2 linked regions of the Notamacropus eugenii genome follow. The protein of the gene in region 1 purifies or fractionates together with the protein of each later gene. This does not show direct contact. Links are inferred from orthologs where the notes say so. Each region holds a gene or a part of one and is shown in the gene's direction. Other genes may lie near its edges.

Region 1 (12,036 bases):
TAGAAATACCGAGACCCAGAAAAGTGATTTACTCAAGGTGGATATATATGCCTAGAGGAGAAAGATCTAGGATCTTCAATCTATCTTCCTTACAGTTTGAAGAATCTTTTCCCTAAAACTCTTCTTATTAAATGCCACTTCTCTGCTTTTTACATACAACATGAAATATAAGAGTCAACTCTTTCTGAAATAGGCTCAATGACTACACAAGCCACCCACTGAAATGCTTAAAGGATATCTTATTCTGAGCTGAGAGTATTTCTGGGGTGGGACACTTCTCCAAACTCCACCTTGCAGAAATGACTAGGATTTTTAATTTGTAGATCAGTGGTTTCCAAAGTGTGGTGGAGTGATATTGATTATTCCTAGGGGACCATGGAATAATCCCATAGTGGAAATCAGACAGTTAGAAAGGTGGCACACAGGCTCTCCTTAAGGAGATAGCCAATCTTGCACCTATCTATAATAAAAACATCCTACTTCTGTAAGAAGTAGTGTTCTGCCCATCCTACCCCTGCTCCCAATGCCAGAGAGTTTTGGCTTTCTTCAAATCTCAGTCAAAATCCCTGCAAAAAGCCTTTTCTGGTCCCCCTTAATGCTAGTGTCTTTCCTCTGAGATTATCTCTAATTTATTCTACTTACATCTTGTGTATGTGTCCGTAGCTGTTTGCATGTTGTCTCTCCCATTTGATTGTGAGTTCCTTGAGGTCAAGGACTAATTTTGTCTTTCTTTGCATCTTTAACAATTAGCACAGTGCCTGACATATTGATGTTTGTTGACTACCTGACAAATGCACCACTCCCCTCACCCATTATCTCAATCCTTTCTGACTTAGCCCCTTCTCATGGAAGGCACCAGACCCTTAGTATGGCTGTAACCTAACTTGACCCAGTAACCCTTCCCACTTCCACCAGAAGCTTCATAGGAAAATTACACTTCCCCTCAGTGTCCCCAAACCTCTTGTCTATGGGAGGCATTGGGCTTTGAGTGGGTTGTAGAAGCTGATGAGTAAAAATCCTGTCCCAATTTCATTTTTGGTGAAACACAGGATGAGGAGGCATCAATTCACATTACCAATCTCATCCACGATCTTTCCCTGAAACTCACTCCCTTTCAAACTTCCTTATTACTGCTGAGGGACCACCATTGATCCATCAGTTGCCAAATTTTGTCATTTCTACCATCATAGTGTCTCTCACGTTTGTTTCTCTATCCACATTGCCACCTTGTTCAGGACATCATCTCCTCTCATTCCCAGGATTACTCTAGTGGCCTCAAATTGGCTTTCCTGACTCAAGTCTTTCCCCTCTTCAATCTATCCTCCACTGAGCTGCCAAAGTGATTTTCCTAGAGTACAGGTTTGATTATGTCACCCTTCTCAGTAAACCCCCATTGACTCCTTATTGATGATAGGATGAAACAATACTACATCTTTATCTCATATTTTTAAAAGTCTATTTTTGTGTAAGTTTCATAATATAATTATATATGCATGTGTGTATATACATATATGTGTGTACATAGATAATACATAAATAAGTACATATACATGGATTGGGGATGGTCAAAATATTTTTACAGGTGTGGTAAAAAAAAAAATCAAAAAAACTTGGAGCTCACTATTATAGATCATTAAGTTAATAAGAGACCTTAGCCACCAATTAGTTTAACTGCTTCATTAGACACATGAGGAATCTAAAGACCATGAGTGGGGAGTGACTTACTCAAAGTCACATGGTTATTGAATGGCAGAGCCAGGATAAAAACATCTCCCAATTTTCTGCCTAGTACTGCTGTTACTGTACCAGCTCAGGCCAATGCTTTATGCAGGATGGAGCCAAAACATGAACTGTATTATCAAGTACAGACTGTAAATGACTCCCTTTACCATGCTTCTGTTTTAAGCTAAGTTCTATCATTTCCAAACCCTCCTTCTTTAAATAACCTTTAAGTATGAGTTAGAGGCCTCTTTTCTCCAATATATAGAGAACTGAGACAAACGTATAAGAATACAAGTTATTCCTCAATTGATAAATTGTCAAAATATGAACAGGCAGTTTTCAGATAAATTAAAACTATCTACAGTCATATGAAAAATGTTCTAAATCACTATTGATTAGAGAACTGCAAATCAAAACAACTTTGAGGTACCATCTCATACCTATAAGATTGACTAATAGTACAGAAAAGGAAAATGATAAATGTTGGCAAAGATGTGGGAGATTTGGAATACTTATGCATTGTTGGTGGAGTTGTGAACTGATCCAACCATTCCAGAGAATAATTTGGAACTATGCTTAAAGGGCTATAAAACTGTGCATAATCCAGCAATACCACTACTAGTGGGCAGCTAGGTGGTACAGTGGATAGAGCACCAGTACAGGAGTCAGGAGGACCTGAGTTCAAATTTCACCTCAGCCACTTGACACTCACTATGTGACCTTGGATAAGTCACTTAACCCCAACTGCCTCATCTTGGGTCATCTCCAGTCATCTTGATGAATATCTGGTCACTGGATTCACCTGGCTCTGGAGGAGAAATGAGGCTGGTGACCTAGACAGCCCTTCCTCACTCAAAACAGAGTCAAGTACAAGTCATATCATTATTTCTCTGATGGCATAGTCTTATTCAGCAATGAAGGACAGACACACAGATACATACACACACAGACACACAGACACACACACAGACACACAGACACACACACACCCCACTACTAGGTCTGTATCCCAAAGAGATCATTAAAAGGGAAAGGGACCCACATGTACAAAAATATAGCAGTTCTTTTTGTGGTGGTAAAGAATTGGAAATTGAAGGGATGTCTAGCAATTGGGGAATGGCTGAACAAGTTGTAGTATATGAATATAATGGAATACTATTGTGCCATAAGAAATGATGAGCGGGAAGTTTTTCAGAAAAAGCCTGGAAAAACTTAGATAAATTGATGCTGAGTGAAGTGAGCAGAACCAGGAAAACATTGTACAGTAACAGCAACATTGTAAGATGATCAGCTATGGTAGACTTAGCTCTCCTCAGGAAGACAATGATCTAGGACAATTCCAAAAGACTCATGATGGAAAATGCCATCCACATCCAGAGAAAGAACTATGGAGCCTGAATGCAGATCGAAGCCGACTATTTTCCCTTTTTTTGTTTTTGTCCTTTTCTTTCTCGTGGTTTTCCTCTTTTGTTCTGATTCTTCTTTCACAACCTGACTAATGCAGAAATATGTTTAACAAGATTGCACATGTATAACCTATATCAGATTGTTTGTTGTCTTAGGGAAGGAGGGAGAAAAATTTGGAACTTTAAATCTTATCAAAATGAAAATTATTTTTATGTGTAATTAGAAAAAACAAAATAGTATGAAGTGAAAATTTTATTAAAATTAAGTATGAGTTAGATCAAAGGCCAGAGACGGGAAAGGAAACATCTTCTGAGGATGAGAAGATACATCCAGGGTAAGTTAACCTCACCTCGCTGACTTTATTCCCATTGGCACAGATTCTTTCTCACCTCACCACAAACTTTTGAGGCTTAATTAGTGCTCTGAAAACCATAGGTGAAGATCAGAGTATTATTATACAGTGTTTATCAAGGGTTCTCTAGACTCTTTATTTAAAAGTCATGAAGTTCTCTGAGATGGTTCAGTTCCCAGTTTCTCACACCACATCCCAGTTTCTGAGGACAATAATTCTCTGGGATTGGGGAACACCCTTTTGAAGAACAGACTCTTCTCACTAGGAGGAGAAAGGATTGTCTCTTTCCTTCAGCCCATCATCCATCCTGCTGCTGGAACTGTCTCCCCAAAGCCTAGCTTTCACAAGATCAACCTCATCAATTTCAAATTCCTCTTGTCTGGTTATCCAGACTTTCTAGAATTGGATCCAACCCTGTCTCTCCAACTTTAACATCATTATGAGACACTACTGCTATCCTCTAGCAATACCAATTAGTGGGGGGATGGCATATGTAAATAATTATAATAAAGTAAATGCTATGTGAATACTGTAGTTAATAAGTGATAAAGGAACTAAGAGGAGGGAGATGTCATTTCCAGTCCAGCCAAAATACTTACCCATTCTCAAGACTTACCATAATACTTACCATAGGCTCAGGTCCTAGCTGAGTGAAGTCTTGTCTGAACCATTCTAGTTCTTGCTGATTGCTGGTTTTTGAATTTCAAGTTATTGTCTTGTTCTCCATGAGTTAGTGAGGCATTGGACTTAGAGTCTGAAATCAGTTTCTGGGCACTGTCTTCGACCTTTCCCAGCTATAAGACCATGCAGGCAATTCACTTAATAGTTTTGAACATTACTTGACTCATTTATTAAATGCTCTCTCTACCTCCCAGGGTGGGTGTTGTAAGAAGAGTGCTTTGTAAATCATATAATGTGAGCTATGGGAGGTATTATACTAAATTATATTCTTTAGTTGTCACTATCTCATCTCCCCAATTAGACTATAAGTTCTGTGTGGATAGGAACCAGTAAGGGATCATGTAGCCCCTAATAAGGGGCTGGGCATTTTATTTAGAGCCTTTTTTAGGAGGAGAGATGCAGTGGGATTTCATTGGTGTAGGGCAGAGGTATCAAACACATGGCCCACAACACAATGAGGGCAGTTGGTGCCTGAACCAGATTAATATGTAATTGGGGAATATACAGCAAAACAAAGGAATAAATTAATAAACAAATGAACAAATACAAACGGTTTTCTAACTCAATTTGTAGCCTACAGTGATCCTTACGTAGGGTTTGGTGACCCCTGGTTCTTTTTCAGCTCAATATCACTGGTGTGAGGAATTCCTAGTGAGGAAATTCTCTGTTGAAACCTATTGGCAACTGCTTTGTAATTTATGCTTTCCCTGAGGTAGTAATTGGTTTGATGGCTTGTTTTGAGGCAAAACAAATATGTTCCAGAGGTAGATCTGAACCCAGGTCTTCCTTATGCCAAGAGGCTTTCTGTCTATTACACCACACTGCCTTTCAGTTAGATGCATAGAAGGTTAGAATCAAAAAAAATACCAGTACTGGATGAAACCTTAAGAAATCATCTAGGTCAACTTCATTTTAAAAATGGAACTGAGGTCTAGGGATATTACATGACTTTCTGAAGTTGGTATAGAGGCTTACTGGCATAAGGAGTGTTTGTTGTCTCTCCTCAAAGACCAAGAGATTGGTGACAAGAGTTTCCAAAGGTGGGCTGGGGGTCTGCAGTAGCTTGGATCCTAACAGTGTTAAGTACAAAATATTAAGCAAGCCCAATGATAATGATGCTTTAAAAAAAATCCCATCATTTCACAATTCAGACCTTCCTCCATCAGTCCAAATTCATAAGTTCATGTTAAAATTGTGAAACTACTAAAATATTATGGAAAACCACTGCCCTTTTGAATATTTTAAAAGAGAATGAACTGGACATCAATAGTCCTCAGGAAATGTTTGTTGAATTAAATTAATGTAGGGTATGGGGTAGCCCAGCAGTTATGCTGTAGGGGCTAAGAAAAGACTGGCCCTTCTCACTACAGAATGACTGCTGGTTACACTTTAGGGATCACATATCACACCTCAAATCTAGAACCCTGAAGGTGTTTGGAATAGTTTTCCTTCCTCACGGTTGTGTTCTGTATCCCTCTGCCCTTCCCCTTTAACTGTAATTGGTAGTGTTCTTATTTTATTAAAAGTTAACATGGTCTCTACACTAGCAAAAGCCCAGTGAATGAATGACGGTGAATCGATCCGGTCAGAGAAGAATTAGCAAGCCGCGGGAGCAACTCTTTACCAAAGCTCATTGGCATGCATGGGCTCCTCCATTCTCACCACATGACTTTCTCTTCCCCAGGTTCTGTAGATAAGAACATACTAAATTGCAGCTGAAAAGGATCTTTAAGCATCATTTAGTCCAAGGGTTAACTTTTTTTTTTTATCATGGATCCCTTTGGGATCTGGTGAAGCTTATTGGAAGCTTATTCTAAATACTTTTAAATGCATGAAATACATAGGATCACAAAGGAAACCAATTATATCGAAATATGTATACACACATTTAAAAAGTTAACTGACCCTAGATTTAGACTTCTTGATTTAGTTCACCTCCCATTGATGCAGCAGTACAGAGGTGCAAGGGTCGAGCAGCTAGTAGGACCCAGGTCTCAGACTAGGGCTCTTAGAACTGCACTGAGCTGCTCCGGCAGCACACACTATTTATTTTAGACGAAAACGATCCTTTAAAGGAGTGCAGAGCTGGTGTGTAGCCAGGGCATTAGGTACTACGACAGGGTGACCCTTACCACAAATAGTCTCTGCTCTAACACCGAAGCTGGCAATGGTGGGAATAGGGCGTGGTTACCACCCCAGGCCTGATGGTTTGGAACCCCTCTCCCCTCCCTCCTATAATTGTCCCTCTCCCTTCCTAGTAACTTCACACAGACACACAGACACAGACACAGACACGGACAGACACAGACACTGACAGACAGACACACACACACGCACACACACACACACACACACACACACACACCCCCTCCCCCTCTACCTCGGCTCCTGAGTGGGTGCGGACTGCTTTACAGGTCGCTCCCTACCCAGTCCCCGGTCGCAGCCCCTTCCTCGTCCTCCCCAGCCCCGCCCCCGGCCCCGGAGCCCCTCCCCTCGCGTTTCCCCTCTCGCCTCCAGCCCGCCCCTTCTCCGGCCCCGGCCCTCCGCCCGCAGCTCCTCCAGCCCCAGTCGCCCTCGCCCTCGCCCGCCGCCCCCTCCCCGCCCACCCCCCTGACAGCGGGCGCTCGGCCTGCAGCCTCCGCCCCCTCCCCCGCAGGCAGGACACTCCCCCGTCGTCTCCTCCCCCAGTTTCCGCGGGACTCGGCCGGAGTGGGAGGCTGCAGCTGCGGCTCCGGCGGGAGGGAGGCAGCGAGCGAGCTAGGGAGCGAGCTGGAGCGGAGGAAGGAGCCCGCCAGCCCGGGGAGGCAGGAAGACCCCCGACCTGGGCCGCCCCGCCCACACCCTCGGGCCAGGACCAGGCTCCAGCCGGGGACGCGTCCTCCGCCTCCCCGGGGCAGCTACCTGTGCGCGTGGAGTGCCCCCCTGCCTGCCTCCCCGCTCTCCTGGCCATCTTCCCCGGGGGCAGTAGGGGCCGCGGGAGCCCCGGAGGAAGAGCCGCGGCTGCAGTCCTGTCCTGGGCAGCCCCAGGCAGGATGAGGAGCTGAAGTCTCCCGGCCAGGAGAGGGAAAGGGAGGGAAGGGAAGGAAGAGTCGGAGCGGGCGGGGCGTGCAGCCAGCAGCGGGGAGAAGATGCTTGCCTACGCGGTGCAGGATGCCACCGTGGTGGATGTGGAGAAGAGGAGAAACCCCTCCAAGCATTATGTGAGTAGGGCCCCCGGCTGGGTCCGAGGTCGGGGCTGGGCACGGAATGGGGACTAGCCCAGGTTCCCATTTGCTACTTGCGGTCTCGTGGGCTAGTGGAGCGTTAGGGGAGAATGTTGCTGGCGAGTTTCTTAGGAGCGCTGGAATCCACTGGGGACACTCAGATCCCTTCTCTAGATCCTAACACGTCCCCCTTTCCCTAAATTCCCCTCCCCCCTACTTCTTTACTTCTTTTTTTGGCTTAGGAATTGGCAAGTGTCTGGCCTTGTCTGTTTGAGTGGTGAAGTCATCTGTCCAACTGATGATGCTGATGGATAGACCTGGGACGGAGGCTGGGGGTGGGGTGTGTGTGTGTGTGTGTGTGTATCTGGGGTGGGGAGGGGGATACGAGTAGCTTTTGGAAAACCCACTCTTGCTCAGAACATGCGTGGGGAGAGCATCTTCCCGGCAACAACTTCCTGTAGGGATCCGGGGGAGTCTTCTAAACGTGTCCTAAGGGAGATACTTTTGCCAGTAAGATCTCTGCAGGTTCCTTTCCAGCCTGTCAGGTTCTTTGCTCCACTGAGTTCTGGGCTTAGGTGGAAGAAACCTACCACTCTCTGCCTCCTTACTTTTGTCCTGGAAGTCCATATCCATTATGTTGAATGACATTATCATTTTACTCTTTCTTACTGTGGATCGGATTCTTAAACTGAGGAGATTTTCTCCTATGTAAGCTTCTGTTGTGTATTTGAGTTAACGGTGCAGATGTTGCTAGGATCAAAACCCCCTCAGAGCTTACAATCTCAAAGTGTGTATGTGATGCCTATATAAATATGATATAAGGCAGAACTCCATAGAGGGGTAAAGGAGAGATACAAAGTACTCTTGGGAGAAGGTGAGAAGGAAGAGACTGGTTGATACTTCACCCTTTCATCTCCATTACCCAGCCTTCACACCTCTGAGCAAATGGAGTATTACTGACATCTAGAATGTCCTCCTGAGTTTGAGAAAATTCCAGTAGAGTAAGATTGTAACTCCCTAGGACGGAAGACTTGGAGCAACAATGTTGCTTCTGGTTTGGTAATGCCTATATTTTTCAAATAGATCTTTTTTAGAAGGCTCTGCATTAGTTTTTTGTTTTTTTTTAAAGAAGTTAATCTTACTTCACAAAGTCTGATGCTTCTCAGATTTACCTTAGTAGTATCTTGATTTCTTTGTTATAGATGGGGCACCTTTGAGCTTTGCTTATGTTCTCCATCCAGGAACTACCCAAAATTTTATGTCTTTTTGAAAACTGTCACAAGTTGGCTTGTGCTGGGTTTGGGTTTTTACTGGGGTTTTCCAGAAGCTCTCAGAATTCTTGGGTTGGAAGCAACCCTAAAGGTCATTTATCCTGCTTTTTGGCAAGGCTGTTCCTAAATCCCCTTAGATTGATGGGCAGCAGTTCCATTCTCAAAGTTCTCTAGGAGGAGAAGACACAGTCTTCTGATGGGGTGGGTATTATTCTAGTGTTCCTTAACCCCTTCATGGCCGATAAGTTCATCTTTTGTTGTATTCACTTTTAAGCTATCTTTTCTTTAAGACTGGTCACCAGTATCCATGTAGCAGGTGTATTTGAGACACTTAGCTTCTACTTGTGAAGTCAGGGAGTCGAGTTGCTTTAGCTATCAATGATTATTTTTTATTTTTTAAACCAGTCCTTCAGTAAGGTTGGAGTTACCTTTCAGCAGGTGGCAGTCTCTGCCCTGGGACGTGAGCAAGTTCTATCTGAAACTTTCCCGATAGACTGTGTGACTTTAGCTTCTAGATGAATTTACAGCAACATCTGTATACCATTGTCAAGTTGGGGGTCCAAAATCTGCAAAGCAGCTTGATAACATTATAGTCCTCTTTTGGGGTGCAACAGTCAAGCTGGCTTGCCTTGGAACCTGTTAAAAAATGCAGCATTCTCCTGCATCTGTTCATCAAAACTGGCCTAGTGCACTATTTTCTTGTGTGGTGGCCAAGGAAGACCTAAGTTCACGTCTTACCTCTCACTTGTATTGGCTATGTGATCAAGTTACTTAACCAATCAATGCTCTTGGCAATTCTTTATTACACTATAAATTTCAGGGAAAGTGACAAGTTATATTAGTAGAGGGAATTTCCTCACCAATACCCTAGACCAGTGAAATCCTAAATCTCATCCCTAGACCTATCACAATTCAGTTTCCTTCTTGAGGACCCAAGATTACAGAACCTGGAGTTTCTGACCTCAGGCCAGGACAGTGTTGCCAGAGCTCTTAGAAACTCATGGAAAGGTGTGAATAAAGATAAAAAAAATACCATAATTCTCATGTCTGGCCTCTTCATTAAAAAAAAAAAAAAGGATTTATTTTGACTTTCATTGACAGGCATAGATATGAGCATAAAAAAGGAGAAAATTTTGAAATCCAAGTTTCTTTAAAAAAAGTCAACATTTTAGTTTAAAAAAGCAGGGCTTTTGTGAGGGGGGAGGGGTAGGAACCAGCTCCTAAAGGATAATAGTTACTTGCACCATATGAAAACTTGGGGAAAATAAAGGCTCTTCCTAATAATACTCATTCATGGATACTACCATTTCCTCTCACATTATGAGGCAGGGATGGAATAGCGCCCTATGGGAACTGATGATGTCACATCCTGGGAAAGCAAAGCAGGCAGTGATGTCACTGGAAGAGAGAGGCCACATAGAGCCCTGACCTTAAGTTCTGAGGAACAATTAAAGGAGAAACTTTTTTTTTTCATTGTGAAAATAAAGCTCTGGCAGGGATTTTCGCAGAGATCATGCCAACTTCAATCATTTTACAGTGAACAAAACAAAATCCCGAAAGGAGAGACAGTGACTGAACACTCAGTGGTTAATCCAAGGACTTGAACCACAAGGAGCCCTGCTTCTGGAAGGGGATCTATCATGAAATGAAACCTTTCCTCTCTTATTTGGGGGAGAAGAGAGGGAGAAAAGAAAGTAGTAGAAATTAGTAAATTGTTCTGATCAATTTTTCCCATGGGATTCCATCTCCATTTTAATTTAATTTTATTCCTCACGCTTCAGCTGTAGTCTCTCTCTGTCTCTCCCTTTCCCTCTCCCTCTCTCCCTCTCCCTCTCCCTCCTCCTCCCTCCCTTTGTCTCCCTCCCTCTCTCTCTCCCTCCCTCCCTCCCTCTCTCTCTCTCTCTCTCCCCTTGTCTCTGTCTGTCTGTCTGTCTCTCAGAATGAAGAATATCAACTGGTCATTTTCCCAGGTTAGATTGTTTCAACATTTCCAAGCTCAGGTGGATCTCCCCAGAGATTAGAATCTGGAGTGAGGGAATAAGCATGTATATAGTGCCTACTACGTGCCAGTCTTTTTGCTAAGCATTTTATTAATATCTCAAAAGATCCTCACAACAACCTTGAGAGATAGGTGCTTTTATTATCTCCATTTTGCAGTTGAGGAAACTGAGACAAACAGGTTAAGTGAGTTGCCCAGGGTCACACAGCTAGGGAATGTCTGAGGCTGAATTTGAACTCAAGTCTTTCTGCCTCCTGGCCCAGGCTTCTAGCCAATGTTCTATCTAGCAGTCCTTAGGCAGAGAATGAAGGATAACTGTCTATGTAACATTATAACAATTGCTTGCAAAAGTATTGCTAAGTTATATGCAAATGGTTACTGACGTGTTCAAGGTGAAGTCAACGAAAGGAGGTGGAAATGGTTAATCCTATAGGGAGGAGAAGGAGCCCAGGGCTTGGGTCAGGGATAGGAAACTTCAGCCTTGAGGACGTAGAGGGCCACATGTGGCTTCAGGGCTGCAGGTTCCCCATTTCTGGCTTGGGTGGATATCCTTCCTCTCCTTCTCCCCCTCCAGCCTTCCACCAAGGGTAAGGTGAGACAACTAGGTGGCAATATGGATAAAGTCTAGGGTTATTGTGAGGATCAAATGGATTAATATATGTGAAGTTCTTTGTATACCTCAAAGCACGATATAAATGCTATTACTATTGCTATAATAATAATTATTATTAATATCAAGTCAAACTAGTTATGCCCTCCTGTGGGGTGGTTGTGTAGGGAGTGACACATTAAGATCACATATGTTCTAATGGCTATGTGCATTTAAGGAACATACCTTTCTCTCTCTTGCTCGTCTTCCCTCTAATGAAGAGTTCTGAGTCTGTGGCTTGCTAAATTGCAGAGCAGAGTCAATTTATGGGATTATGGGTTAGTCCAAGGAAGATGATGAAAGGCCTGGGCCCCATACAAAAGACTGTCTCCTAGCTCTAGAACTTGGAAGGTCTTTTGCTGCTGAGGCACCAATGTGTTATCAGAGTAGGACTGCTGATTCTAGTGGTTAGCTCATGGTGGGGTGGGGTACTAAGAGAGGCAGTGTGGTATAGATTAAGTCCTGGACTTGGAGACAGGAGGGAGACTGGGTTTGAATCCCACCTCTGGTGCTTGTTAGGCTCTTGGAGTCTCAGTTTCCTAATCTATAAAACAGGAATAATAGATGGTGCAGTGTATATACAGTGCTGGGCCTGGAGTTAGGAAGACCTAATTTCAAATCCAGCCTCAAGTATTTACCAGCTGTGTGACCCTTAACACTTAACACTGTTTGCCTCAGTTTGTGCATCTGTAAAATGAGCTGGAGAAGGAAACCACTCTAGTACCCTTGTACCCCAAAAGGCATCACAAAGA
Region 2 (12,272 bases), on another chromosome or scaffold:
TGTGTTGTGAGTGCTATTGTGTTTGTATGGCTTGTGCTATATATGGGTTGTGTTGTTGGATGTGTGTTGTGGTGTGGTGTGTTTTTGTGTTGTGTGTTGTGTGTGCTGTGCATGTTGTGTGTAGTGGTTGTGTGTTGTGGTACTGTTGTATGATATATGTTGTGTTGTGTGTGGTATGTGTTGTTTGTGTGGTATATGATGTGTAAGTGTGTGTTATATGGTATGTATTGTGTGTTGTGTGCAGCATGTGGTTTGTGTTATGTGCAGTATGTGGTGTGTTTGTATGTGGTGTATGGTGTGCATGTGCTGTGTAGTGTGATGGTGGTGGTGTGTGTGTTGTGTGTGGGGTGTGGTGGTTGTGTTGTGGTAGGTGTTTTTTGTTGTGTGTGGTATGTGTTGTGTGTGTGGTGTATGGTGCATATGTGTGTTGTGTGCTGTATGTGTTGTGTGTTTGTGTGTTATGTGTGCTGTGTGTTATGTGTGTGGTGATTGTATGTTGTATGTGTTGTGTGTGGTGTTGTGTGTGGTATGTGTTGTTTGGTGCATGATGTGTGGGGGAAGTGGTATGTGGTCTACGTGTTTGTGGTGTGTGGTGTGTGGTATATGGTGTGTTGTGTGTTTGAGTGTGCTGTGTTATTTGTGTGGTGTGTAGCATGTTGTGGGGGGGAGTGTGTGTGGTGTCTGTGTGTGTGACTACTTGGCCCAAGATACAAAATCCTAAGAATGGCTTTTCCCCACACCATAGATGGCATCAATAGACTTCCTGCAGACACATAGGACAGAACAGCCAGGCTTGTCCACTCAACCCAGAAGGGGGGTGCAGCCAGTGCTTCTGAACCTCAGCCTCTTGGGTAGAGAAGTCAGGATCCGGAGCTCCCCGAATCGAGATTCCTGGCCGTGGTAGGCTGTTTTCCTGGACAGCAGCAGCAGCCTTGTTAAAGAGGTTAGGAATGAGAATTCTGGCAAGAAGAGAATCCTAGATCCAGCCTTCAAGAGAGGAGAAAATCAGCCAGGTGGTTCCCATAGTATATCATAGGAAGGAGTTGGGGGATCTAGACTTTGGCAGCACTATTGCCTCCTCCCCAACTCACCCACATTAGTCCAGTGAGTTCTCTGACCAGTAACAGGCGTATTTGCTGTCTAAACCATAGAGTGGTATAGACTTGGGAGGACTGTTCAGAGAAGTCCTCACCAGAATGTCAAAGGTTCAGCTCCTTTTGAGGGTACTAGGAGTAAGCCCCAAGTCTGTCTGGGCGGTTTCTAGCACTTGAACCAGACCTTCCAGCTAGTTTGCTCCATATTGATTATCAGCTGGAACTGACTTTTCAAACAGGATTCTCTAAGCTACAGAAGGAACAGTCGGTACAAAACAGTTCCCCCAGAAACCCTAAGGCACATCTCCCACAAATGCACAGAGTCCAAAGGGAGAGCAGGCTCCAACACAGAGCACGCAGTAATGAATCAAGTGATGTAGAGAACCCACGTAGCTAAAGGTAAACTTTGAATTCTGGGTAATAATATAATTTCATCATAAATCCTTTGGGATTGTCTTGAATTATTGCATTGATCAGAGTAACTGTTGCGTTTGTCCTTCATTCTTAAAAAGGACCATGACATCAAGATGATGACATGACTTGCAGTTGACTCTGATTTGAGTGAGGGAAGGCTGTGCAAGGTCACCTGCCTCACTTTCTTGTCCTGAGCCATCTGGGTCCAGTGGCCTGATATTTATGATCACTTTGAGTGAGATATACCCATTCAATAGGCTTCTTTAAGTAGCTACTCAGAGTAACTAAGTCATTCACAGTTGATAATTGCTACAATTTTGTTCTTATTGGGTACAATGTTCTCCTGGTTCTTCTCACTTCACTTTGCATCAATTCAAATACATCTTCCCAGGTTTTTCTGAAACCATCCCCTTCATCATTTCTTAACAAAAGTCACATCTTTAAAAGTGCCAGAATGGTTCAGTGGCTCTTTCCTGCTGCGTCCAGAGGCTGACAGTTCACCCATAGTGTGGGTGCCGTGAACTGAACCAGAAAGTGGGGGATATCTCCCCCTCTCTCTCCTTTTACTGAGAAATGGACCTGGTGTTGTTTGCTTCTCTTCTATGTATTTTGTTCTTATTAGTTTCAGGTATAGGTAGTGATCCTCACTAGACCTGGGAGCTTGGGCCATGGAGAGACTTTGGAGCCGCTGGTGGGATGTTGCAGTCAGATATCTGGGCAGGGAAACCCAGAGAAGCCAGGGAATCTGGGACTGAAGCAGAAGGGGATGTTTAGACGTGGAACTTGGGGCTGTGTTTTATGGGAAATGAGCTAAACTGTGAACCCTTCCCAGAGATTAAGGTAGTGTGTAGAGAGGGATGTGTAGATTGTCTTACCTTCCATGTGTTATGGAGTGCCTTTGTATGTTTGTGACAGTACCTTTGAACTAAATATTCCTCTGCATAAGCCAATACAACTGTTAAGTGGCTAAATGGAACTGGGGTGCAGGAAGATATACCATCTGTGGGAGCTGGAGTCATTGACATCTGGCTGGAGCCTAGATGCCTGCCTTCCCCTTAAGAGTATGGAAGAACCCTGGGGGAGGGGTGAGATGACACAGAGTAGAATGGTACACCCAACCCTCTGCCATCTCTCTGCTGGCATTTACTATGGTTTTACTTCTGACTGCGAGTCCCCACCCTTTCTCCAGATTATAAGCTCCTGGATGGGCAAAAATGATGCTTGTTGACCTCTGCAATGATTGGCTGTTTAATAAATGCTTGGTGGATGAATCATATATTATCAATATTAATGAATTCTATATCAACAAGATACTATATATTAATAAGATGTCATAATGTAAGCATTATACAATATTAGTAGATTTGTATTATGTAAATGTTATATATTAATGATATTACATGTTAATGATATCATACAATATTCTGTATTTTGTGTATTAGAGAGACAGAGAAGGCAGAGTTGTGAACATTTCCGTCTCTGAAATCTGCAGACAGGAGAGAAGGCAGCAGGAGAACAGTGACCATCTCTCTCCCCAGATCTGGGGACACCTTGGAAACGCTGAAAACTTGCAGACAGCAGCACAAATCTGCAGCTCCGGATAAGGCTTCCCCACCCCCAGGGGAGCAGAGCCCAACTTCAACAAAAATTCAGTCAAGAAATAGCCTGCGAAAATCAGCAAATAGCAACACTGCGCTTCAGTGGTGGAGGGGAAGACCAAGCCGGAAACTCAGAAGACAACAATGTGAAAACAGCCGCAAACAAAGCCTGAAAGAAAAATGCTAGTTAGAATGGGGAAAATGTTATCGCGTAAAAGAGACACATAGGGAAGAGTTTTTACAATGAAGGGGAAAATGGGGGGGGGGGGGAGGAGTGGGCAATGTTTGAACCTCACTATCATTTGAATTAGTTCAAAGATGCAAGACTACACACACACACACACTCACACACACACACTCACACACACACACACACACACACACACACACATACACACACACTCAGGTGCTCATTGGGCACAGTAACAGCAGTATTGTAATGACGATCACCTGTGAAAGACTTGGCTACTCGGACAAATACACTGATCCTAGACAATTCTGAAGGACTCGATGAGAACAGGCTGTGCACCTCCAGAGAGAAAACGGATGGGCTCTGAGCGCAAACCGGAGTGTCATTGTCTCACTTTCTCCATTCTTCCCACTTTTTCGGACATGTAGCTAGTATGGACATACGTCTTGCATGATCTCAGATGTATAATTGGTATCTTACTATTTGTCTTCTCAGTAGGTGGGGGAGGGGTGCGAGGAAGGGAGAGAATTTGGAGCTCAAAAGTTAAAAAGAAAAGAATTTCAAAAAATAAATCATAAATTGAAGTGATTTTTAAAGATGAAAAATAAAATTCCTTGGTGGAATGAAGGAAGAAAAAGAAAGACAGAAAGGAAGACAGGAAGGAAGAAAGACAAGAAGAAAGGAAGGAAGGAAGGAAGGAAGGAAGGAAGGAAGGAAGGAAGGAAGGAAGGAAGGAAGGAAGGAAGAAAGAAAGAAAGGAAGGAAGGAAGAAAGGAAGGAAGGAAGGAAGAAAAGAAGGAAGGAAGAAAGGAAGGAAGGAAGAAAGAAAGAAAGGAAGAAAGAAAGGAAGGAAGGAAGGAAGGAAGGAAGGAAGGAAGGAAGAAAGGAAGGAAGAAAGAGAGAAAGGAAGGAAGGAAGGAAGAAAGAGAAAGAAAGGAAGGAAGGAAGGAAGGAAGGAAGGAAGGAAGAAAGGAAGAAAGAAAGGAAGAAAGAGAGAAAGGAAGGAAGGAAGAGAAAGAAAGGAAGGAAGGAAGGAAGGAAGGAAGGAAGGAAGGAAGGAAGGAAGAAAGGAAGGAAGGAAGAAAGAGAGAAAGGAAGGAAGGAAGGAAGAAAGAGAAAGAAAGGAAGGAAGGAAGGAAGAAAGGAAGGAAGGAAGAAAGGAAGGAAGAAAGAGAGAAAGGAAGGAAGGAAGGAAGGAAGAGAGAAAGAAAGGAAGGAAGGAAGGAAGAAAGGAAGGAAGAAAGGAAGAAAGGAAGGAAGAAAGGAAGAAAGGAAGGAAGAAAGGAAAGAGGAAAGAAAGAAAGGAAGAAAGGAAGGAAGAAAGGAAGAACGGAAGGAAGAAAGGAAGAAAGAAAGGAAGGAAAGAAGAAAGAAAGAAAGGAGGAAGGAAGGAAGAAAGAGAAGGGAGGGAAAAAGAAAGAAAGGAAGAAAGGAAGGAAGGAGGAAGGAAGGAAAGAGGAAAGAAAGGAGGAAGGAAGGAAGAAAGAGAAGGGAGGGAGAAAGAAAGAAAGGAAGGAAGAAAGAAAAGATTGGCAGACACTACAAATCAGGCTTGATTTACTGTTAAGAAAGTGATGCTGAAAATGCACAGAATGCACATTAAACTTCAAAGTGTGTCCTGCATGCCTTTCTCTCTTTTGGGGGGAGCCAGTTGTTAAACGTTTGCCAGCACACCACTATGGGGCAGCTAGATGGCCCAGAGCCAGGCTTGAATGTGCCTGCTTTGCTCAGCTTCAGTGAAATCGGATTTAGATTCAGTGGTATCTTAGCTTGGCTTTACATGGGAGGGAAGGGCACCAAGATCATCCCCATAGTTTCATATTCCCAGACATGAGTCAAACGCTGATGTTACAAAGGGAAACACTGTGTTAGGGTCAAGAAGACATTTTGTTGGGAGATTCCCTCAAGAATAAACAGAACTCTGGGTCTGAGTAGCCCACAGGCTACATATGTGAAGTACTTTTACAAACCTAAAATGCTTTATAAATGTGACACTTTATCGTAGCTAGGGTTCTAACTAGATGTCACTGAAGTAATTAATGATCCTGAGAGGAAGTTTTAATTAGACACATACAATACCAAAGATGACCACCAGATGGCGCCCTGCTTGAGCTACCAACTCAAGCTTCTTGACACTCAATTAAGAGTACACTGGGAACCAGGCACTGTGCAGGGTTGTAAGTGTGCTGCTGTCCTGCCACTGGTCCTAGAGGGTACCTGGCTGGGTTCTAACTGAACCTAGGGGGTGAAATGGAATCACCCCAAATATGGCACTGGGACTAACTATGGTGTCTCTAGCTGCCCAGTTCCCATGACTGCCTGGGATGGAGGGCAGAAAGTGGATGAATGAACCCTGACTCTCCCACTTAAAGCTCACAGAAACAATGGGAGGGAGGAATGGGAATCGCTGGCCCCTTGCACGACTCATAGCTTCAAGCTCTCAAGGCCCTGGTCATTCCCTAGCTCTTGGCAGTTTGGAGAGTGAGTATGAAGGCAAAGATGTGAGCAGGCCACAAAGGGACACCCTTGGCCAGCTTCCATAGGCTAGGCCTGGAGTCAGGAAAGACCTGAGTTTCAATCTAATCTCAGACACTTTCTAGTTGGGTGACCAAGGGCAAGTCTGATGTCTGCCTCAGTTCTCCCCCTCCCTCTCCCCCTGCCCCCCCACACCTGTAAAATTGGTATCATAGTAGCCTCGCGTTCTCAGGGTTGCTGAGAGGAGCCAAATGACATAGTGTTTGGAAAGCTCTTAGCACAGTGTGGGCACTTGATACATCCGTTTCCTTTCCCCTACCTAGGGAGTGTCATGACCCAAACCTGGGACCTTGGGTCTCCAGAGAGATGAGAGGACATAGGCAGGTCTGAGCAGGACAGCCAGCCAAATGGAGGGCCTGGGGGCTGGTCTTGCCTGACCCCTGGTGTGGCGCAGCCACAGAAATCTATGTGCCCAGACACTACCTTCCTCCAGCCTCCTCAGTTCCTGCTGCACTCGCATGATCCGATGGACTTCGGGTGGGAGGATTCAGAGAAGTCTGAGGAACCCTGGGCCATACCTTCCCGCCCCCAGCCAGACCCAGACACACACAGACTTACAAAAGAACACTTGCCCTCTCCTCTCCCCTCCCCCACAGAGATCAAGTCCCTTGCCCCCCCCCAGACATACACACTGACACAGGGTCCAGACTCACACATGTGTGATCGAGTGAGTACACAAATAAACACATATGCTTCTAGTGGGCTTTTGTTGCAACCAAGGACCCACGAGTGAGAGTGGCCAGACAAGTGTAAACCGGTGGAGGGTTAAGAGGAGCAGGAGAGGGGAGCCTGTGGAAGTAGGGCCCATGGTGGGGAGAGGGGGCTGGAGGCAGGGGGAGGGGCCGATGGGGAGGGGGCCTTGGAGGCAGGGGGAGGGGCCGATCGGCGGAGGCTGGGGAGGGAGGGGCCGCGTCCTCTTCGGACTGGGCTGCGAGGGAGCCGCTCGGGGTTTAGGGGAGTCCCCGGGCCCCTGCGCAGGCGCCCCCTTCCCCCGAAGAGCCCGCCTCCGCGGCCCTGCCCCTTGCGGGGCCAGCCGCCGGCAGCTTCCTCCCCGGATACCGGGGAGGGGGCGCCGCCCCCCGGAGCCGCCGCGCCCGGATCTACGTCGCGCCCCGGCCCCGGCCCCCTCCCCCAGGCCCGGCCCCGCCATGCCCCGCTCGGCGGCTCCCCGCAGCCCCCGCCCCCCGTGCACGGGGGGTGCAGGTCGGCCCTAGCGGGCGGCCGGGCGCCGGGGACGCCGGGGTCCGGGCGCCGGGAGCTGCGGCGGGAGGAGGAGGAGGAGGAGGGCAGCAGGCGCGGCGGCGGCGGCGGCGGCGGCGGCGGGATGCAGGGCAGTGGCGGGGCCGCCCCCCCAGGGAGTCCGGGGCCCCCGCGGCCCCCGCGGCCCGGCCGCTTCTCCTGCCACATCGAGGGGGCCCAGGCCCGGCCTGGTGAGTGAGCCGGGCATGGGGTGGGGGGGAACACTCGGGGTTCGGACTGCGGGGGGTGGGGGAACCCGGCAGGTGGCCAGAGAGGGAGGATGGGGGGAGGGGGGGAGGGGGGGCAGACAGATGGGCAGAGGGATGGACAGGTGGGCAAGTGAGCCAGGGGTTCCCTCCCCTACTCTACTCTCTTCTCCCCCTCCTCCTCTCCTCCCCCCCCATCCCCCTGGGGGGCGTCAACTCCTTCATTTTACAGAGGAAGGAAACTGAGACCCTTCGGGGATTCCTGTTCACAAAGAGGTTGGTCCCTACCAGTCACTACAATTTGGATCCTCTGGTCACTGTGGGCAAAGAAAACTTTCAGGACCCATGTGCACCCAGGACCAGGGAGTCAGAGCAGGGGGGACACCCAGGCCCTGGCTTCACTTTTCCTAAAAGAAGCTGGAGACCACAAGCTCAGGGAGAGCAGCTCATATAGAAGTCCATGCTGGAGGGTCAGGGTCCCACAGCAACAGGGATGTGCCCGCTCCTCATGTCCCCATGCCTGGCTCAGACACAGCTGGACTGTTGTTCAGGTGGGGCCCTCCATTGGGGGGGGGGGCAAGGTCTGTGCCATGGGAGAGGGGGGAGTTAAGAGCCTCATCTCTTGCTTGGTGCCAGCATGGGGGAGGGGGAGGGGGAAACGACGGGACTGATAGAGAAACCAATTTAGGCTCCAACCTTTCTTAATGATGAGAATCCAGCAGCTAAGTACAGAGCTGCTTGTCTGTAGTACCAGAGACCCTGTGATCCTGTGGGCCCTCAAGCACATTCCATCAGAACCTGGCCTCTCCCTATGCCAAACCCAGACCCAACTTCCCCATCTCCACCTCTTGTCCAGTGGCCTGAAAGGTAGTAGGAGCCCAGGAAGTGGCAGCTCCTTCCTACCACACTTAGCCTGACCTTGACCAGGGCCCTAGGCCTGTCGAGAGAGCTGGCAAAAAGGCCTTTCCTAGAGGTAGTCTTGAAGGATTAGTGGATTCTGGCTGCCCAGCGGCATTGGGCCAGCCTGGAGCAGAGAGCTGTGCCAAATGGGCTAAACCTGGCCAAAGGAGGTGAGGGTGGAAGGTCTGGCCTAGATCCCAGGGGGCTTCTGCTTCAGGTCCAGAGTTGTCACTAGCATGAAGTTGGAACCTTGAGTGGGGGAGGCTTCAGGGGCAGGGAGGCTGTGGGGTCTGAGCTCAGCCCCCTCCTTGCCTCTTCTCAAGTCTCCAGGCTCCTCATCTGTAAACCAAAGACTTGGACCTAGAGGACCTCTGAGGTCCCTTCCCAGTTCTAACCCAATAGACCTCACCCCAGCTTCTCTGGGTCAGTTTCTCACTATAAAATGATGGTCCCTAAAGGCCCTCCCTCAGTTTCCCTGAGTAACTCTATCTTATTCTAACTTTCAGCTGAGATGCCCTCCACCCTCCACCATTCCCTACAAAGAATCCTCCTTCTCCTTGGCAGAGACAGGGTAGGGGGGGAGGGGAGGGAGGCAGCACTGTAGGAGGGGAGGAAGGGACAGATATCTGCATTTAAATACCTTGCCCCCCAAGGATAAAGCTCTTTCTGTTGGAAAAGGCCACCTGATGAAGATGCTCAGGGCCCTTCAAATTAGGGGATGGGGGAGATGGCTGGCATCCAGGGTATGGGCTATAACCAGCTGCCTAAAGAGCCCCAGATCTGAATTAAGGATATCTGCCTTTGAGCTACTTGGAGAGTGTCAGGCCTAGAGGCCTAAGGGCTACCCAAGTCTTACCTTACCTATCGCAGGTCTTCGGCTGGCCAAACCGGATAAACGTATGAGAGAAGAGACTTTCCAGAGTCGAACAAGGGTTAGGCTTTATTCAGGGTCTTGGTTACATGTGCAGGGTAAATTCTTCCTTAGGAGAGAGGAATCCTCTTCCCAAGGAGGCAAAGATCTTACAGTAAGAGAATGGAAGTGGAAGTGGGAGAGGGGAGAGGGAAGAGGGGCCTTCTGTCCTCTAAGGGCCCCTCAGCGCTAAGAGCGCCTTCAGGCTTTCCTGACCCTACTTAAGCTCTCCCGCCCCATAGTTTGCACCTGAATACCGTGCCTGTTAGACAACAATAGGTGTGCTCGGACTATGGATTAATCTCGAGGGCGGGGATGCTCTTCCCCAGCACATTTCCCAAGGGAAGAGGCGGAAATGCACGAGATAGCCCGATCTCACACCTCAATTCCCTGCTGTTCCCTGGGGGGCCTCATGAGAACTCTAAGGTTTAGAAGTCCTTACCTTTACCTGCCCGAGACTGTCCACATGGAACTGAGCTTACACCCCCAACAGGAGAGCAGATAGAAGAACGTCTTTTCAAGATTTGCAAAGTGCTTTCCTCCCAGGAGCCCTAGAAAGGTCAGCCATGCACATCGGTTTCTCCCCATTATTCAGAGAAGGAGACTGAGGCTCTGATCAGTGAGTGTGGCCAGGACAGGCGAGCACAGACGGGGAAAAGGAGCTTCCCCAGATATGGCTCTGGTCCCAGATTGGGGCTGGCGCCTCCTTTGGCCAGACTCTACAGGTCTCCTCCTCAGGAAACTTCTGTCTAGAGGAAGAGGAGTCTTGGTAGGGGAGAGCAGTTTTGGGGTTTTCTTTGCCTAGCCTGGCAGTCAGGAGATCTGACATGCCTCAGTACCCCCATCTGTCAGCTATGGGGATGTGATGGAACCAGGACAGAGTGTGAGAAACTAGGAAGTGTGCATAAAGGCCACTGACTGCTGTGTGCATGTGTGGAGAGAAGGGATATGTGCTGAAGGGCAGTGCACTAGCCAGAGCTGATTGGCTTCTGGAGGAGGACAGAGGCATGGAAGGAAAAGGGGGAGCACTCCTGAGAAGAGCCTCAGGATGGCCTTCACAGCCCCCTTAGCATTCCCAAAGTGAGCCTCAGGCAGAGCTGGGCCTACACTGGACCAGACTTGGGCCCCTTGGCTTCCCAGCCCCCAGGTCTCCACCATGGGGGAGATGGCGGGAGTGAGCGAGAGCAGCCCAGCCCTCAGGAAGGGGCCAGTTGGGAGGAACACCCAATGGTCAGCATGACCATTGCCACCTCTGAAGGCAGATCCCGCCCCTTGCACAACGACTGGCTTGTTGGTTTCTAGACTTCACAAAGTGATGAGAAAATGATAATGATTCAGACTAAGACGCTCTCGTTTGTTCAGCCATCCTCAACACCTTGTGGACCACAAGCACTGAACACAGGATTTGCCACAATCCTGCCTTTGCTGCTAGCTATGACCTTGGTCAAGTCCCTTTCTCTCTGAGCCTGTTTCCGTCTCTAAAATGAGGGGTTTGTGCTAGATGCTCTCTAAGGTTCCATTCAGTTGAAACGTTTCTTAAGTGCGCTGGGAAGGAGGGGTTGGGGGGAAGAGACTGAGAGGGGAGTCACTGGTTCCCAGACCCTTAAGCCTTGGAGGAAGGAGAGGCTTTGAAGAGATGACAATGAGAATGGTGGGGGTGGGAGGTGGGGGTTGGGAACAGCCTGGCAAAGGCCAGGAGGCAGGAGATGGTCAGGCTCAAGGAATGGTAAATGAGCCAGTTTGACCGGAAGGCTGAGTAATGTTGGAAAAGGTTGGAAAGGGGGCTAGATTGTGGCGGGCTTTCCATCCTGGGCCAAGCAAGGAATGGCTGGATTGGAATGGAGAGGCCCACGGAAGGCCCTGAAGGGTCATCCAGTTGGACATGCACCAGGAGTCTGAGTCTAGGTTTGGGGTCCCTGGGTTTGGTGGCTCATAGGAGTGGGACCATGGTGGGAAGGAACTCAGATTTCCAGCTGGAGTCAAGGGAGCTAAGTCAGCTGGGTAGAGAAGGGTCAGATGCCAGGGACCATCCAGACTGGGCACGAAAGGAAATGAATGTGCCCAGTCCTCAAAGGGCCCGCCCGGTCTTCTGCTTGAGTGCTCAGGTCTGCAAAATGCCCTTTTACCCGTATCTGGAAAGTGAATCAGACCCAAATTTCCCTCTTGGGTACCCAGTCTGTGTCTAGGCCTGGGACTCCAATTACAGCAGCTGGGTGTGCAGGCCCAGTCTCTCTTGTGGAACATCGGGGAAGAAGAGGGAGGGGGAAGGCCTACTGCCAAGTCTGGCTTAGGCTCCTCCCCAACTCTCCAGGAAAAGGGACCCTGTACCTTTAAGTTGCCAAGGTCTGAGTCACCATCCCCACTTTCCATAATGCTTTAGACAGATGTTGAGCTGCAGCTGGCCAGATGTTTGCCTGGTGGGGCTGAGGGGCCCTGGCTGGGGGATGGAAACACCTGTCACTCGGGACCAGGGTGAAGCACTCTCCAAGGCTCCAGGCCACCCCTCTCCTTGAAGGCATCTCTAGAAGGCCCCATTCTGAATGCCATGGTGGGGAGGGGCCTTCCCTGGAAAGATGTGTATGCATTTAGGGGAGTTGCCACCCCACTTTGGCAGGTCACTGGTTTTTTACTTGTCACCCTCCTTCCCTGGTTGGATCAGGGGTTTCGAAAGAGATTGTAGCAAGTCCTTCTGGGGAACAGGCCCTGTTCTAAGACAGCCTTTGTGGGGGCAGAGGGGCAACTGTCACTGCCCTCAAGGGGCTCAGATGAGAAAACTGAGGCTCAGCTGAATTCTCTCAGCAAGATTTTGAGCTGGAAGGACCCTCCCAGGTCCAAGTCCCTGTTCAAGAATTCAGCCGGGGATGGGCATAGAGGGGACACTTTCCCCTCTCTCAGCCTCACCTTCTCTCTCTGTAAAATGAGAAGGTTCAAGTGTGCTCTGATAGGCTATGACCCTGAGGGTCCACCGTACCCAAACATTCCTTAGGCACCAGCTCAGGCGACTCCCCCCAGGCCCTTACTGCCACCAGAACTTTCCTCCTCCTGCCTGACTCCAGCCACAGTACCTGGCACAGAGTGAGCACTGGATAAATGCTCTGCCTCTGTCTGTCTGTCTATCTCTTCTCTTGCTCCCTCCCTCCCCCACTCCCTCTCTCACTCCTGCATGTTTCTTGGATGTGACCACAT

The links.
Region 2: the proteins of SH3PXD2A (region 1) and FGD1 purify together in Homo sapiens (affinity purification with mass spectrometry; 3 studies listed by BioGRID and IntAct, with this or other methods). This does not show direct contact. The link is inferred for Notamacropus eugenii from reciprocal best matches to the Homo sapiens genes SH3PXD2A and FGD1.

What each region holds. Positions count from the first base shown.
Region 1 is NC_092872.1:182,100,017-182,112,052, reverse strand, and holds the start of SH3PXD2A (SH3 and PX domain-containing protein 2A), read left to right. Parts: upstream 1-6,851; 5' UTR 6,852-7,290; coding exon 7,291-7,362; intron 7,363-12,036. UniProt on the Homo sapiens protein: Adapter protein involved in invadopodia and podosome formation, extracellular matrix degradation and invasiveness of some cancer cells. Binds matrix metalloproteinases (ADAMs), NADPH oxidases (NOXs) and phosphoinositides.
Region 2 is NC_092879.1:102,631,760-102,644,031, reverse strand, and holds the start of FGD1 (FYVE, RhoGEF and PH domain-containing protein 1), read left to right. Parts: upstream 1-7,122; 5' UTR 7,123-7,155; coding exon 7,156-7,261; intron 7,262-12,272. UniProt on the Homo sapiens protein: Activates CDC42, a member of the Ras-like family of Rho- and Rac proteins, by exchanging bound GDP for free GTP. Plays a role in regulating the actin cytoskeleton and cell shape.